Linked DNA regions of Lytechinus pictus. The protein of the gene in region 1 purifies or fractionates together with the protein of each later gene. This does not show direct contact. Links are inferred from orthologs where the notes say so. Each region holds a gene or a part of one and is shown in the gene's direction. Other genes may lie near its edges.

Evidence for each region.
Region 2: the proteins of UBX domain-containing protein 6-like (region 1) and nuclear protein localization protein 4 homolog purify together in Homo sapiens (affinity purification with western blotting; 3 studies listed by BioGRID and IntAct, with this or other methods). This does not show direct contact. The link is inferred for Lytechinus pictus from reciprocal best matches to the Homo sapiens genes UBXN6 and NPLOC4.

What each region holds. Positions count from the first base shown.
Region 1 is NC_087247.1:47,551,509-47,558,864, reverse strand, and holds the start of UBX domain-containing protein 6-like, read left to right. Parts: upstream 1-4,341; 5' UTR 4,342-4,715; coding exon 4,716-4,816; intron 4,817-6,064; coding exon 6,065-6,213; intron 6,214-7,356. UniProt on the Homo sapiens protein: May negatively regulate the ATPase activity of VCP, an ATP-driven segregase that associates with different cofactors to control a wide variety of cellular processes.
Region 2 is NC_087254.1:29,541,060-29,547,902, forward strand, and holds the start of nuclear protein localization protein 4 homolog, read left to right. Parts: upstream 1-3,830; 5' UTR 3,831-3,956; coding exon 3,957-3,971; intron 3,972-6,843. UniProt on the Homo sapiens protein: The ternary complex containing UFD1, VCP and NPLOC4 binds ubiquitinated proteins and is necessary for the export of misfolded proteins from the ER to the cytoplasm, where they are degraded by the proteasome.

The sequences.
Region 1 (7,356 bases):
AAAAAATGCATAAGAAATTACATTTTTGGCAATTTTTGGTGGATATTTGTTATAAATGTGAAAATTGATACTCTCACCAAAAATTAGCATTCTACTAGCTTAATAAATATGGTTAAAGGCAAAAAAAAAATTTAGGGCAAATTTCATATGCTTATTTGCATAATTGATTAATGAAAAAAATATAAATAATTAATTTTTGTCTTGTAAATTTGATGCAGAAGTACATGAAATTGCTGATAGTACACTTAATTGCATGTAAAATCGAACGCACCCAAATACGCGGAATTCTACTACACAGTGTGCTTGCGTGAGTGGCTGTATAATAGAAAACATAAAGTTCAACAAATCCACACTTTAAATATTTTGAACTTGAAAAAATAAAGCAAATAGGCTAAAACCATGTAATATTACAGTTTTAAGTAGTTTTAGTATAATTCTTAATTGACCATGCAGTGTTCCAACGTACCCCATACCATGTTCCAACTTACCCCGTATTGGGGTAAGTTGGAACGTTTGCGATGGTCTTGTTCAAGGTGGATTTTTTTCAGTAACCATAATAGAGTTGAAAATTTTATGGGGTACATTATTTTGAAGCCCTTAGATATATGCTTCAAGCTGATATATTGATTGTTTCTCGAATAAAATCTATTTGGATTTTACAGCCATTTTGTCAAAAATGTGCCAATTAACCCCGGTCTCCCCTATGTCGCGAATTTTGTCTCAAAAGTTGCGCGAGACCTCAAAAAAAAAGTCATAAAATTTTGCGGTGCTATCTTTTTTTGCGTTTTGGAAATATTGCACGAAACGTTGAGGGGGAGCATCATGCCCCCAGTCATTTAAGGGTTAAACAGGCTTAAACATCACCATCTCAAAGACGTGCACCATGGCTAGAACCTCGGACCTCTGCATCAGTTAATTTATACTTCCTCCATGTATTACAGGCGCACGCCACAATGCAGCACCCAGAAGATATTGTAGGCACTATTATTTCATAAACTATATAAAATATGTTGTGATCATAAACTAATCAACGTTTCGGTGGTGCGTTTCTCTCGGTTAAGAGTTGGCCCCTATGATAAACATTTGACCTTTAGCGGTGTTGATCTAGGCCTACATGAATGATGTTGGTGATGATGATGATTATGGTGGTGATGGTGGTGGTGAAGAAGATGATGATGATGACGATGATGATGATGATGACGACGATGATGATTATGGTGGTGGTGATGGTGGTGGTGGCGGTGAAGATGATGGTGGTGATGATGATAATGATAATGATGGTGATGATGATGACGATGATGATGATGATGATCGTGGTGGTGGTGGTGGTGGTGAAGATGATGGTGATGATGATTATGCTGGTGGTGGTGGTGAAAATGATGGTGATGATGATGATGATGATGATGACTATGATGATTATGGTGGTGGTGGTGAAGATTATGGTGAAGATGATTGTGATGATGATTATGGTGGTGATGATGATAATGATGAGGATGGTGATGATGATGATGATGATGATCGTGGTGGTGGTGAAGATGATGATGATGATGATGATGACGATGAATATGGTGGAAGCGGTGGTGGTGAAGATGATGATGACGATGATGAAGATGATGATGATGATCTTGGTGGTGGTGGTGGTGAAGATGATGGTGAAGACGATGGCGATGATGATTATGGTGGTGATGATGATAATGATGATGGTGATGATGATGATCGTGGTGGTGGTGGTGGTGAAAATGATGGTGATGATGATTATGCTGGTGGTGGTGGTGGTGGTGGTGGTGAAGATGATGATGATGATGATGACGATGATGATGATGATGATGATTATGGTGGTGGTGGTGGTGAAGATTATGGTGAAGATGATGGTGATGATGATTATGGTGGTGATGATGATGATAATGATGATGATGATGATTATGATGATGATGATTATGGTGATGGTGGTGGTGGTGATTATGGTCTGATGATGACGATGATGATAATGATGATGATGATGAAAAATTCAATTCAATTTAACATGATTTTTAATTTCAAAATTTTCAACAGATACATATTATACGAGATAATAATCTCTATATATTTCTTGATATTTTGAATAAGGACAGGTGTCGCTCTGTCACTAGTTATTGACTCCGGAGAGCTCAAGATGTCAGTAGGTTCTCAATAGGAGGGGATAGAAATGCCTGTATTCTGAACTCAGGTTTAAATTACACCGTGATTTAAAGTTGTGGTTTAACTATGGAGAGCCCATTGGGGCACAAATCCTTAACAGCACACATCCAATTTATTAACTCATTTGACACTAAAATTATCCATAATTGTCTATGAATGATATCTGAAGTATTTCCTTCATTATGAAAGCAAAAGAAAACAAAATAGTAAAGATAAGAAAAAATGTATTATTAACAGGATTTACAATTTTTTGGCATCCCATAATTTTAGAACAGAGTAACACGTTAGACCGTGGTCAAAGTTAAACCCGAATTCAGAAACCGGGCCATATATATATATATATATAAAGGAAGAGAGCCCTTTGCACAACGTGTGTTGCAGTGCTAATCCAGGCATTGACGATTTTATTTGTATGGTTTTATGGTTTTGTTCTATTTTGTTTGTTTCAATACATAATGGCCTGATGAAGGCCCTACTGGCCGAAAGCTAGCATTAAATGAGATACCTTGAAAACTACGTCTAGCTTCAATGCCTGGATTATTTTACGCCTATATATATATGTGTGTATATATATATATAAATATATATATATATATTATAAGCATATATATTATCATAACCATATATATCATTATGACCTTAGTTCTCATATTGAAAACTTTATATTACATTTTTATCAATGATAAGAAAATGATCATTGAATTTGTTACGATACTGCAACAAATAACAATGAAAATTTAGTTTTAAATTTGATTTCCTTTTTTTATTACAGGAAATATAATTAACCATACACAAACAAATAAAAAATAATAATGGTTTTACGTCTCTTGAAGTGTCAGATGCACAATCCAAGGTTAAGATAGTATATCCAAATTAAATCCCAGTTGGTTGGCGAAGATTCCTTAAATTAAAGTTCACAATGATGGCGATGATGAAATCGATGTTGAAGCACGATGAATAACAAGAGTCACTGTAACATGTTGAAATGTCCATGAAGACGATGTTGATGATGATTAACAGTCAATTTCAGCAATCCATGGGTTGAAAAGCGTTCATTAAAACAGGTTGATGATCTCGATGAGAACTGAGAATTCCTCTCTCAAAAAAAAACTGCAAACAGTTCATTGATGGCGTGCAAATAATACCACAGAGGATAAATATTCCGGTTGGAAATAAACTCTGCTCTGACATAAAGTCTGGTGTGAAACTCTGAGTTCTGATCTGATATGATGTAATGATGTCCTTGAAGAAACTGTCAGCTTATATACAAATTATTTACTATTATGGAAGCTTCTAGTATTGTCTACAAAAAGAACATTCTGCCAATTTCTAGAGCAGTCTAATTTTAGAACATTCTTGAATGACCTCAGTGAAATAAACAACATAGCTAATCCTATTGTTCATTACCACAACCACTTGGAATCTCTTTGTGTTGCAGTCTCTATTCAGAAATAACAAAATTCCTCGGCCTATTAAAGAACATTCATGAGTAACAAAGCTTTAGTGAGACATGTTGGAATATTCTTAATCATTCTATGCTATGAATATCCTTAAAGAGGAAATAACTTAATAAATGAATGTAATTGCTCTTACAATTCCTCTTATAACAAATTCAATGTAAACCATTATTGATACTATATGACGGTATTAATCTTAGCATTATAATTAATCGTGTTGAATATATTGAAAAGAGATGGGGCATGGGCAAATGTGTGTTAGAACATAAACGGATGACTTGCTTTGTATATATTCAATTCAGTTCAATTCAATTCAATCTTTATTCTATTTCCAGTCAAAACATAATACAAAGTAATATAAAGTAATATAAATCAAGTACAATTTTACAGATGAGCATTCTTACTTCATATATATATATATATATATATATATATATATATATATATATATATATATATATATATATATGTACATAACGAATCCATCAATCAATGTGATATATTTTTGTTTTGCTTTGTTTTGTCATTCCATTTTGCTACTTATCACTTCCTTTTATTATACAGCAAACATTATTCTTTGAAAATACAAGTAACATTTGGTGCATTCATTGTATCATTCAATTATTATTTGTGTGATATGTATCCAGTGGCGGAATATGGGATCCAGGATTTGAAACGGAGGGGGCGCAACCAACAAATGTTGGGCGCAGATTAAATTTTTCATAGACGGATTTAGCTAAATTAATGTTCAATGGGCAATTTTCTAGGGGACGAACGCCCCTTGCGGGGGTCCGACTAACTTTACATCTGACACTGTGCTGTGGATCCTAAAATAGATCCCCCCCAATTTTCAAGCCGCTTGCTTTTCTATGTTGTTTGATCCGCCAGTTTTATGATATACTTACTCTACTCTCTTGTGATATTTACCTAAACTGAATTGAATTAATTTACTCTAGCCGGCTTCGACTCGAGATGTTGGCGCTGTTTATTGTTTACATCTAATGTTACGTTAGACCCTATGAATATTATCTGATTCATCTCTCGTTTTGTTGGCTGCCGTTTCGAAATTTATTGTTCAAAATGAAGAAGATTGGGGAATTCTTCGACAAAAAGAAAACGGATATGAAATTCAAGAGAGCTGGTCATGGAGTAAAATTGAACGAAAGTACGCCACAGCCCAGGTATTTGCTATTTAATATTTAATTGAACTAACGGTTAGACTAAAACTATTTTTTGTTCTTTCGAACTTTGCATGACACGGTTTGCCATTTATGGGACTACACCATTTTTCAGTCGTTGCCCTTTGGCTTTGCTTATGTTATGGCATATGCTAAACAGCTGGCAGCCGTCTGTTTCGAGGAGTTAAAAAAAAATTATTTCTCTTGAACACAGACGGCTCGCTATCAGTATCGTGTAGCCACGATACCTTTTTCAAGTGACCAAAATATTTCATATGCGAAGAGGGGTCCGATTGGAAGCTGAAATCGTAAAAAGGAAAAACGATTTCGGCAAAATTTTTACATAACCTATATTTTGTAGGTACCGGTTATTGTGTATTTATCGTGAAATTTTGGTGAATTTTATGAGAATAATGTGTTTGATATAATTGAATTCATGAAAAGTGTTCGGTAATACAATCCACTATACCATACCAAAGTAAAGATTATTATTCCGTTCTGGCCCGAAATGCACCAAAACGGGAAAAAATAAACTTAAAAGGGGAAAAAAACAGTGACTTCGGCTGTCGCGCAACTCCCACTTCTCTGGTTGATCCGAATAACCAATACAATACACCTGTACAGATCGAGCTAGAACTTCGGTCTCTGTATTTGGTGAGTGGAGCCAACGGAGTTGATTCAGCGGAGCAACCAACATAACAGAGACCGAAGCTTTTGGTCTAAGCTAGGCAGGCATAATATGCCATAGTAATAAGCAAAATAGTACGATTAAAAATGGATTTCTAAAATTCCATAACAAGATTCAGTTGAATTGTTACTTACAGCTAGGCCTATACAGTTACTAATACTAATTACTAAATAGAAATTGAAGGAGGCTATATTCTCATGCCATGAATAAGAATTCTAGACCCAGGCCCTATGACATGTCTTGACTTGACCGATTCCCACCAAATTTGGGCTGTGGGGGTTTTCATCATGCTCAGCCAAAATATGGTATAAAAAAAAGTGACATGCAAAAATGGAAAATTGATGACGTCACACTTCAATACAGTAGATGATTATAAATCGCTTTTGGACACAAAACTTCCATTTATCCAATCTTTTTCCATTCAAAATATCAACTTCAAATTCCAAGGGCAGGCATAGAACTCATTTCAGTCTAAAATCTAATCTATTAAATATTATTCAATCCTGTTTTATATTTGACGAGATATGTTTTATTCTAAATTCTTTTCCTTTTTTTCCATCCAGTACATCTGGTCAATCTAAACCAGTAGCCCCAAGAATGCAGCCTACTACTAGTTCTCAGATGGCAGGCCAGGCAGCACTGAGTAGACTTACTCCAGGTCCTGGTGCAGCAAGACCAGGATCAGCAGCTTCAGCATCAGTCAAAGCACAGGGTATACATCTAGTCACGTATTGTATTACTGGACACTTATCATGATTCCAGACGTGTACATGTATATTGCATACTCAACGATTTCGTACCGTAAGACTTCAGCATTTCAATTTTTCAACAGAGCAATACATGGAACAAGATTTCAAAGTCGAAAAAAATCTAACTTTTTCCTTATTTATCTCTAAAATGACAGATAATGCTTAAAATATCATACAGCATAGTTTTGCATTAACAATTGATATATTTTCTGACGGAATTTTTGGCCTAATTTGCCAAATTTCAATCTCATCTGTGCCTTCGATCGAATGTTGACGTGTGGTGTATTGTGGGTGATCGTCGACGGCTAGACTCCAGGTTATACTGTGCGTGATGTTTAACGTGAGTATAGCCATCGACGGCGCATGGATAGAACTTGATAAGCATCACGATATGAACGAGCATAATATTGGAAAGCTAACAAGAAAAAATAGAATTCGTTAGATCTAGAAAACACAAATTTATTACCAACATCTGCTCAGATTCGATATGAAAAAAGCAATCAAAACTTAGAGTTTACGCATGATGTGATACATAAAAAAATTATCACACAAATTCTTTCTTACATCATTATTAGACAAGAATATCTTCACCCTTCTCCCTTTTGTCACCCGTCCGGAATCATGATGTAATTTGTCACACACGAAAATAATTGTTTTTCGTGGAGGGGTATGCGGCAAGTGCGATGCAAATAAAATGGTTGGTAAATATCAAATAATTTACCATATTCATAATTTTCCTGATATTTGGAATAGCAAGTGTGAATTTGTCTTGATTGCATTTCCTCTAATTGTCATTTGTAAAACACTGAAATAAAGGTGTCTGGCAATAGGATACACTACCATGTGTTGTCAATCAGGTGGTGTAATGGTCATATGAATTCTCTGCTTGTGCGCCTTAATTAAAGATCAAGTCTAGCCCAAGAGCAGGTTAATTGAATAAATAGATTTCATCAAAATCAAATGGAAAATGAAAAAAAAATTGCTTATTTTGACAAAATATGCACAGCATAGATGCTAGTGAGAAAGTCTATATGTCACACGCTCGCTTTTTGAAAAAAAAAATTATTATAGGATTTATCAATTTTCTTTTAGTAGATAAATTTCAC
Region 2 (6,843 bases), on another chromosome or scaffold:
GCGTGAGCTGAAAATATTAATATTTAGACCATAAAACGGACATTTTACAGAGCACTTGAAAAATCAATTTGTAAATTTAAAAATTTGTATTTTTTAATCATTTTCCAAGTCATCCCCTGACCTTTTTTTTTCACTCGTCTTCCTCCTCTTATTTTACCTCTCATTTTTCCTCCTTTCTTTCCCCTTCTTTTTCTTTTTTTCTTTCTTTCCCCCTTTTTTTTCTTCATTTTTTTGCCCTGCCAATAGGGGGGGGGGGCCGGGTCCCTCGGCCCCCTGGATCCGCCTATGGATGGAGCTCAATTTTACAGCTTCTTACGGCGTACGTTTGATTCCAAGATACTCGAGAATGCCTTGAGTACTTCTTAAGTCAAACGTACGGCCGACGTATGACTCTGTGCACTCCCTTTGTCCGGGGGGTAGTTGTCCGGGGGTAGTTGTCCGAGGGGTAGTTGTCCGGGGGGTAGTTGTCCGGGGGGGTAATTGTCCGGGGGTAATTGTCCGGGGGTAGTTGTCCGGGGGGTAATTGTCCGGGGGGTAATTGTCCTCGGGGGGTAGTTGTCCTCAGGGGGTATTTGTCCGGGGGGTAATTGTCCGGGGGGTAATTGTCCGGGGGTAATTGTCCTCGGGGGGTAATTGTCCGGGGGGTAGTTGTCCGGGGGGTAGTTGTCCTGATACCATCCCGATGTACTAATTGCTGTATATACTCATGCGTGACCAAATTATCTCCAAACACCCCCCTAAACGATTTTTTTTCTCTGTGTGCAAAATAACCACCTAAACAAGTTTTTCGCGGGCCTTTACACAATTTAGCCCCCAAACAAGTTGTCGCCAGAATATGACCCTTAAACAAGTTTTGTCTCACTTGATAACAGTAACCGCGTTTTCCCGTTTCCCATGCCCGTTCCCAGGGTCGTTGCTTACAATCGGGAAGAACCCGAACTGACACTTTTCAGAAACGAGGAGGAAAAGGCCTGGGGGAAAAAAATACCCTAAACACGTTTGGCTATAGTCTTTAAAAAAAAGCTTTGAAAAAAAACATACCTTAGTACGTTTGGCCCCGCGATTGACCATTGACAAGTCTTTCAAAACCAGCCTTTAAAAATATATATATACATATATATATTTCGCCTGAGTCCTGATAGTTTTGAATTTCATATGAGGGGTGCAGGATATATGGCCCAATTATCTTAACATCAACTTAAAAAGTAACAAAAGTTCAAATAAATAAGTGTACAAATTATAAGCGGCTTCGCGACTCAGTATGGGACTGAGAGGTCGGGCCTTCCGACACCACCGTAATACCCCCCCCCCTCGCACTTGTTAGCAAAAAATAAATAAAAATAAAAATAAATGATATATAAATAAAATCAAATAATAGTAATATAAAAAAAACAATTGCTGATCGAGCGATGGAGAGTGTATGGAAAGAAAATATCAGAATAAACTTATCTGACTTACTTCAGACCGTCATCAGGTTGATAGAAATTGAGAACATCCCCACCGCCCTTTCCACCCTGCATGGGCCCATATAACCTCACCTTAAAAGTATCAGGGGGCGGATCGGCTTTCTTTCACCAATAGAGGGGCCGGGGGAATATTTTCATCCACAGCTAGTTTTCCCCCATCGGCCGCTAAAAGCTGATTTTTGTCGGTGTTGGAGGGATTGGAGGGGGATACGTCCCAACTACTAACAAGATAATGTCAGAATAAATAATGTTTGAGCGATCCGCGAACTCAAATTTAATGATATTTCACTATCAGAAATTGCCAAAATTTCGAGAAATTTTTGTACGCAGGAATAAAATATGTATCTATATAAATGAACGATTGATGCGAGCGAGAACCGCGATCGAGCTGAAATTTTTAACATAGGCCTACTGACCGGACCTGATAAGGATTGTTTGCAGTGACGCATGAACAAGATACAATAAAAATGAAGTCAGCGCGAAGCACGAGGTGATTTTTTTTTATTTTCCCACCTGAAAACAGAACATTCGAGCACTTTGTTGTGTTTATCTTTTTATGAACAGGAAAGTTATATTATCAATATGTGTGTGAAGAGAGACCTGATCACTTTTGATATTCCGATGATCTGAAAACTGAACAAACGTATTTACCGGCCCCTTAATAATTAAAGATCAAAGAGTACGAGAACGAGTAGTCAGGAACAGGACGTGTATCTCGCAGAAAAAAATACAGAAAACTGTAATCACGGGCAGATTAATTTGTGTTTATGTATTTTGAACCCATATATCCTCTAAATAAGAAGATTGTTATCTCACTGAACAGGTATAATGCGAGCGCGGAGCTTGAACGAAATTTTTAGTTTGATTTGAACTTGGAACTGAATTTTGTTTGAAATATTTTCAATTATCCTCCCTACCCTTCTTTCGATGAAAGTATGGGGAGGGATAGACCGGGGGACAGGGGGATGGAGCTCAAGCTTGAAAGCCTCTTCCCAAATCATAATAGAATCAATCAGCAGCTAAAATAATGGATCCAGACTTTTGTACTCGTTAACTCTGATTATCTTTGTATAACGCGCCCGATTGATTATAAAAGGATTTTCTTCCCGTGTTTTTGTTTTGTTTTGAAATTCTATTGTTCTAATTGCACGTAATTCCCATAGATTTCCAAACCATCTACTCGATTATATATCTAGGTAAATATCCGTTAACAAAATGTCATATCAAGTCATTTTTTATAACGGGCTTAATTCTTAGTTCACGAACCTTCAGAGGATCTTATGACATTATTTCATTTTTATTTTTTTATTTGATCGAGGGATAAACGTCTTTTCTCATGGGCCAGTGCATGGTCAGCGCCGTCAGGGGCACCGTAATTCGCCTGAATCCCCGGAGTGACCCAAATGCACTGAATTTCCTGATAAAATGGGAAAGTATAATAATTGCAATCTGTTCACTAATGTTGTGTTGTCGCTGGATCGAGACTTAAATGAGACGAATCAATGCAAGATGTAGAGTTCATATGAATTTATTAAAGATGATAACTTGATGATGATGATGATGATGATGATGATGATGATAAATACATGAGTAAGTCTGATGCTGACTGTAGTCCGGGACTGTAGTATACTCTGAAGTATATAAAATAGACTCTGCAAACTGATGTAGTATACTTTTCTGTAGCTCTAAACTCCAGTCTCTATTCTGTAAAACTCTATAATCTATTCTCTAACCAATCTCTATTATCTGATCTGGGTTCAGAAGTGAACCCCTTTTATATTGGTCTGGTCAAGACCATTTACAACCAAAGTGGTGTTGGTCAACCTTGGACGCTTGACCAAAACAATCTGTACATCATAACTTTACTCCGAATTGAGGTAGTTGACCTTTTAGGGAGAACATATCAATGTATAGTGAATAAGAAAACCCATAAAATGTGTTTGCGTCAGAAGTTTAGCTAGAAGAAGAATGAGTAATACTTTCTTAAGAAAGTTGGAGTTGGTAAACATATGATTTAATGTTATACTTCCTGTAGAAGTATTGATTAAGTATTGATTATGTATTGACATATTATTGAATATGTGAGATATGTCTTATCTTCACATAACACTAAATTGCCAATAAAATTGTATGGTTTTTAAACAGCTATAAATCTTATTCCTTGTCCGATTTCTTCTTATTCTGTTTTTCCTTATTTTCCTATTCTACCAAGGTCATTTACCTTTATATTTTCTTCATATATCGATTAATTCTCAATCAGGCTTTTCCACTTTTTTTCCCCGAGATTTTTCATCGCTATTTGTATATCCCCCTCTACAAAAGACCCCTCCGATCCCATTTTTGACCTGGCTTGTCGCCCTCTACGTTCAAATGTAGAATTAATCTGCAAGTCATAGAATTACGTTCTAACGCTTTCTGACAACAGTGTATCCATTTAGACGATTAAATTAACATTTCCTGAGTAGGCTATTCTTTATTATATCACCTAACATGTCGGGGACCATTGTAAGTATTGTTTAAGAATACGAAATATTTTATCAAAGTATCAAAACATGATTTTGAAGGTTACTCGATGTGAATGACTGAGACTGGTCTGAGTGACTGTGCAGTGTCTTACTCACTGAATCTGAATGGAGATTTCACAACACCTCTCACTCAGTTGCTGTCTGACTCTGAGCAGTGAGATCAAGGCCCCGTCTTTTACTTTAGTAAGAGTTACGATTGATCTGATCAATCGCAACTATGGACAGCCAGCAAAATCACCATATAAAATGCATGATTGTTCCAAAAAAAAATCTAGATATGAATGTATATCCATAAATTCATTGATTTCTTGACAATTTGGTGTGTTCTAACTTCAAGTTCTAACATTTAACAAGACATTTTGCAAATTTCCTGTAGGGCCTACTGTAGAGAAAATTATGGCACTGATGGATTTCCATAAGTTATGATTGATTGTATCAATCGTAACTCTTTGTAAGACGGGGCCCAGGAGAGCGAATTCTGAGTCAGGCCCAGTGCATATTGGTACTATGGACGGTAGTGCAGTGCGATAAGTCAGTCCATACATTGCACAATAGTAGTGGGTGATTGTTGCCATGTTGGTGTTGCCTGTTGGTTGAGAGTCACTCAAGGGTCCATTACAGGTAAGACTAAGTCTAAGAGTTCCATATGCACCCCCCACTAAAATTGAAAATAAAAACATGGAGAAGGTTCAGAATAATATATCTAGCCCTAATATCGAACATATATGATGGGGAAGTGGAAATACATACCAATTAAATATGGCTTTATTCCGTCAAATTTCGAGCGAGACCTTGTGCGTGTAATTGTCCATAGACATCGGTTTATTTAGTCAGTAAAGGGTCTGCGAGTCAAGACTAGTCGAACTATCGGCTGATAATCGTAAAAATACCCTTTCCGGTATCAGCGCTTCTCGCTAGCATAGCGGGAAAGGTCTTGACTGCAGATCAAACAAGGTGAGTTCGAGTCCCAACTAAGGTAAGCAACAGTAAAAAAATGATAGAAAAATCTGAAGTGAACGAACCGGAAGTCTCAACAATCTTTTGTTATTTTTGGTGGGGGGTGCATATGGAACTCTTTCCCCATTACATGCCGCCGTGCACAGAAAAATCAAACCATAGAAGTCGTTAGACAGCTGGCAGCCGTCTGTTTCAAGGAGTTTTAAAAAAAATAAAAAATAAAAAACATTTAAAAAAAAATTCTCCTCGTACACAGACGGCTCACTACCGTGCAGCCACCATTAGGGGGTTAACAATGCAAAATCCCCCCGACGGGGCTCATCGATTTTTTTGTCTTTATTTCATAAAAATGTATAAAAAGAACTGTACCAAACTAAAGATTATTATTCCATTCCGGCCTGAAATGCACCAAAACGGGGAAAATAAACTTAAAGAGGAATCCAGCCTTGGCCATAAAATGTTGTGTTGGGAAGGAAAAAAATAAATTAAACAGAATGGTGAAAGTTTGAAAGAAATCAGACAAGCAATAAGAAAGTTATAGCTGCTTTAAAATTGAGAAGTTTTCCCTTCCTCACATCAATTCTCCAGGAATGATAGAGAATCCACCGGGGGTGGCGTCTTTATTGGAGTCTCAAGAAACATCACGACAGAGAATAAACCAGAGCTCTCAACGGACTGTGAAGTGGTTTGGAATAAGATCAAACTGAAAGGTGAAAGGGAACTCTATTGTGGCTCCTTCTATATGCCTCACCGTGACATGAAACACCTAAACCAACTCCGCAACTCGTTGGAGCGCACCATGGAAAATCTCAGAGACCATCATGTTATTTTGACTGGGGACTTTAATTGTCCAGACATAGATTGGGAGCACCTCAGCACTCGACCAGGCGCCGCTGAGAGAGAAGTACAACAAGCTCTTATTGACATCACTTTGGACTTTGGCCTCCATCAAATACATGAGCAACCTACAAGGCAAGACAATCTGCTAGACCTCGTCTTCACTAACAACCCATCATTGGTGAAGAGTTCAAACAGCACGCCGGGGATTAGCGACCATGCCATGGTAGTAACGGACTTTGAGATCCTACCCCACATTGTGAAACACAACAACAAGAAGTGTTACATGTTTCAGAAAGCTAACTGGACTGAAATTCACCAGCGAGCTGCAGTGTTATCTACTGAACTCGTCACTAAAACTGACTGTAAAGTAGGAATCGAAGAAGTTTGGACTCACTTCAAGACATCACTGTTTCAGATCCTAGATGAACATGTTCCCTCCAAGACAGTGCGAGGTAGGAAATCTCTCCCGTGGTTTTCACACAGCCTCAAACGAATGGTGAAGAAGAAAATGAGACTTTACAAGAAAACCAAGAAAACCACCCACGGTGCAGCCAAGAAGAGTGCATGGAAGAAGTATACAGACTTCCAGAAGGACTGCAAACAGGCTTTCAAAGTAGCTGAAGAGAATTTCATCCTATCTTCAGTCATGCATGGTTTGGAGGAAAACAATCCTAAGCCCTTCTGGAGATACGTGTCCTCGAAGAGGAGAGATAGAACTGGTACCCCAGCACTAAAGAAGGATGGTAATCTGATCCATGATAGCAGACTGAAGGCACAGATGCTGTTACAACAGTTCAAATCGGTCTTCAACTTGGACACCTTCATCCCACCAGTTGAAACAAGAACTACCAAGCCTGCACGCAAGATTGACGATCTGCACATTTCTGTCTCTGGTGTGGAAAAGCTACTTGGCAAGATCAACATCTCAAAAGCAGCTGGTCCAGACCTTATTCCTAACATCATTTTAAAGGAATGTGCACCCGAACTTGCTCCTGGCATTACAGCGATGTTTAAGCTGTCAGTGGACTCTGGTGCTCTACCCCTCGACTGGAGAG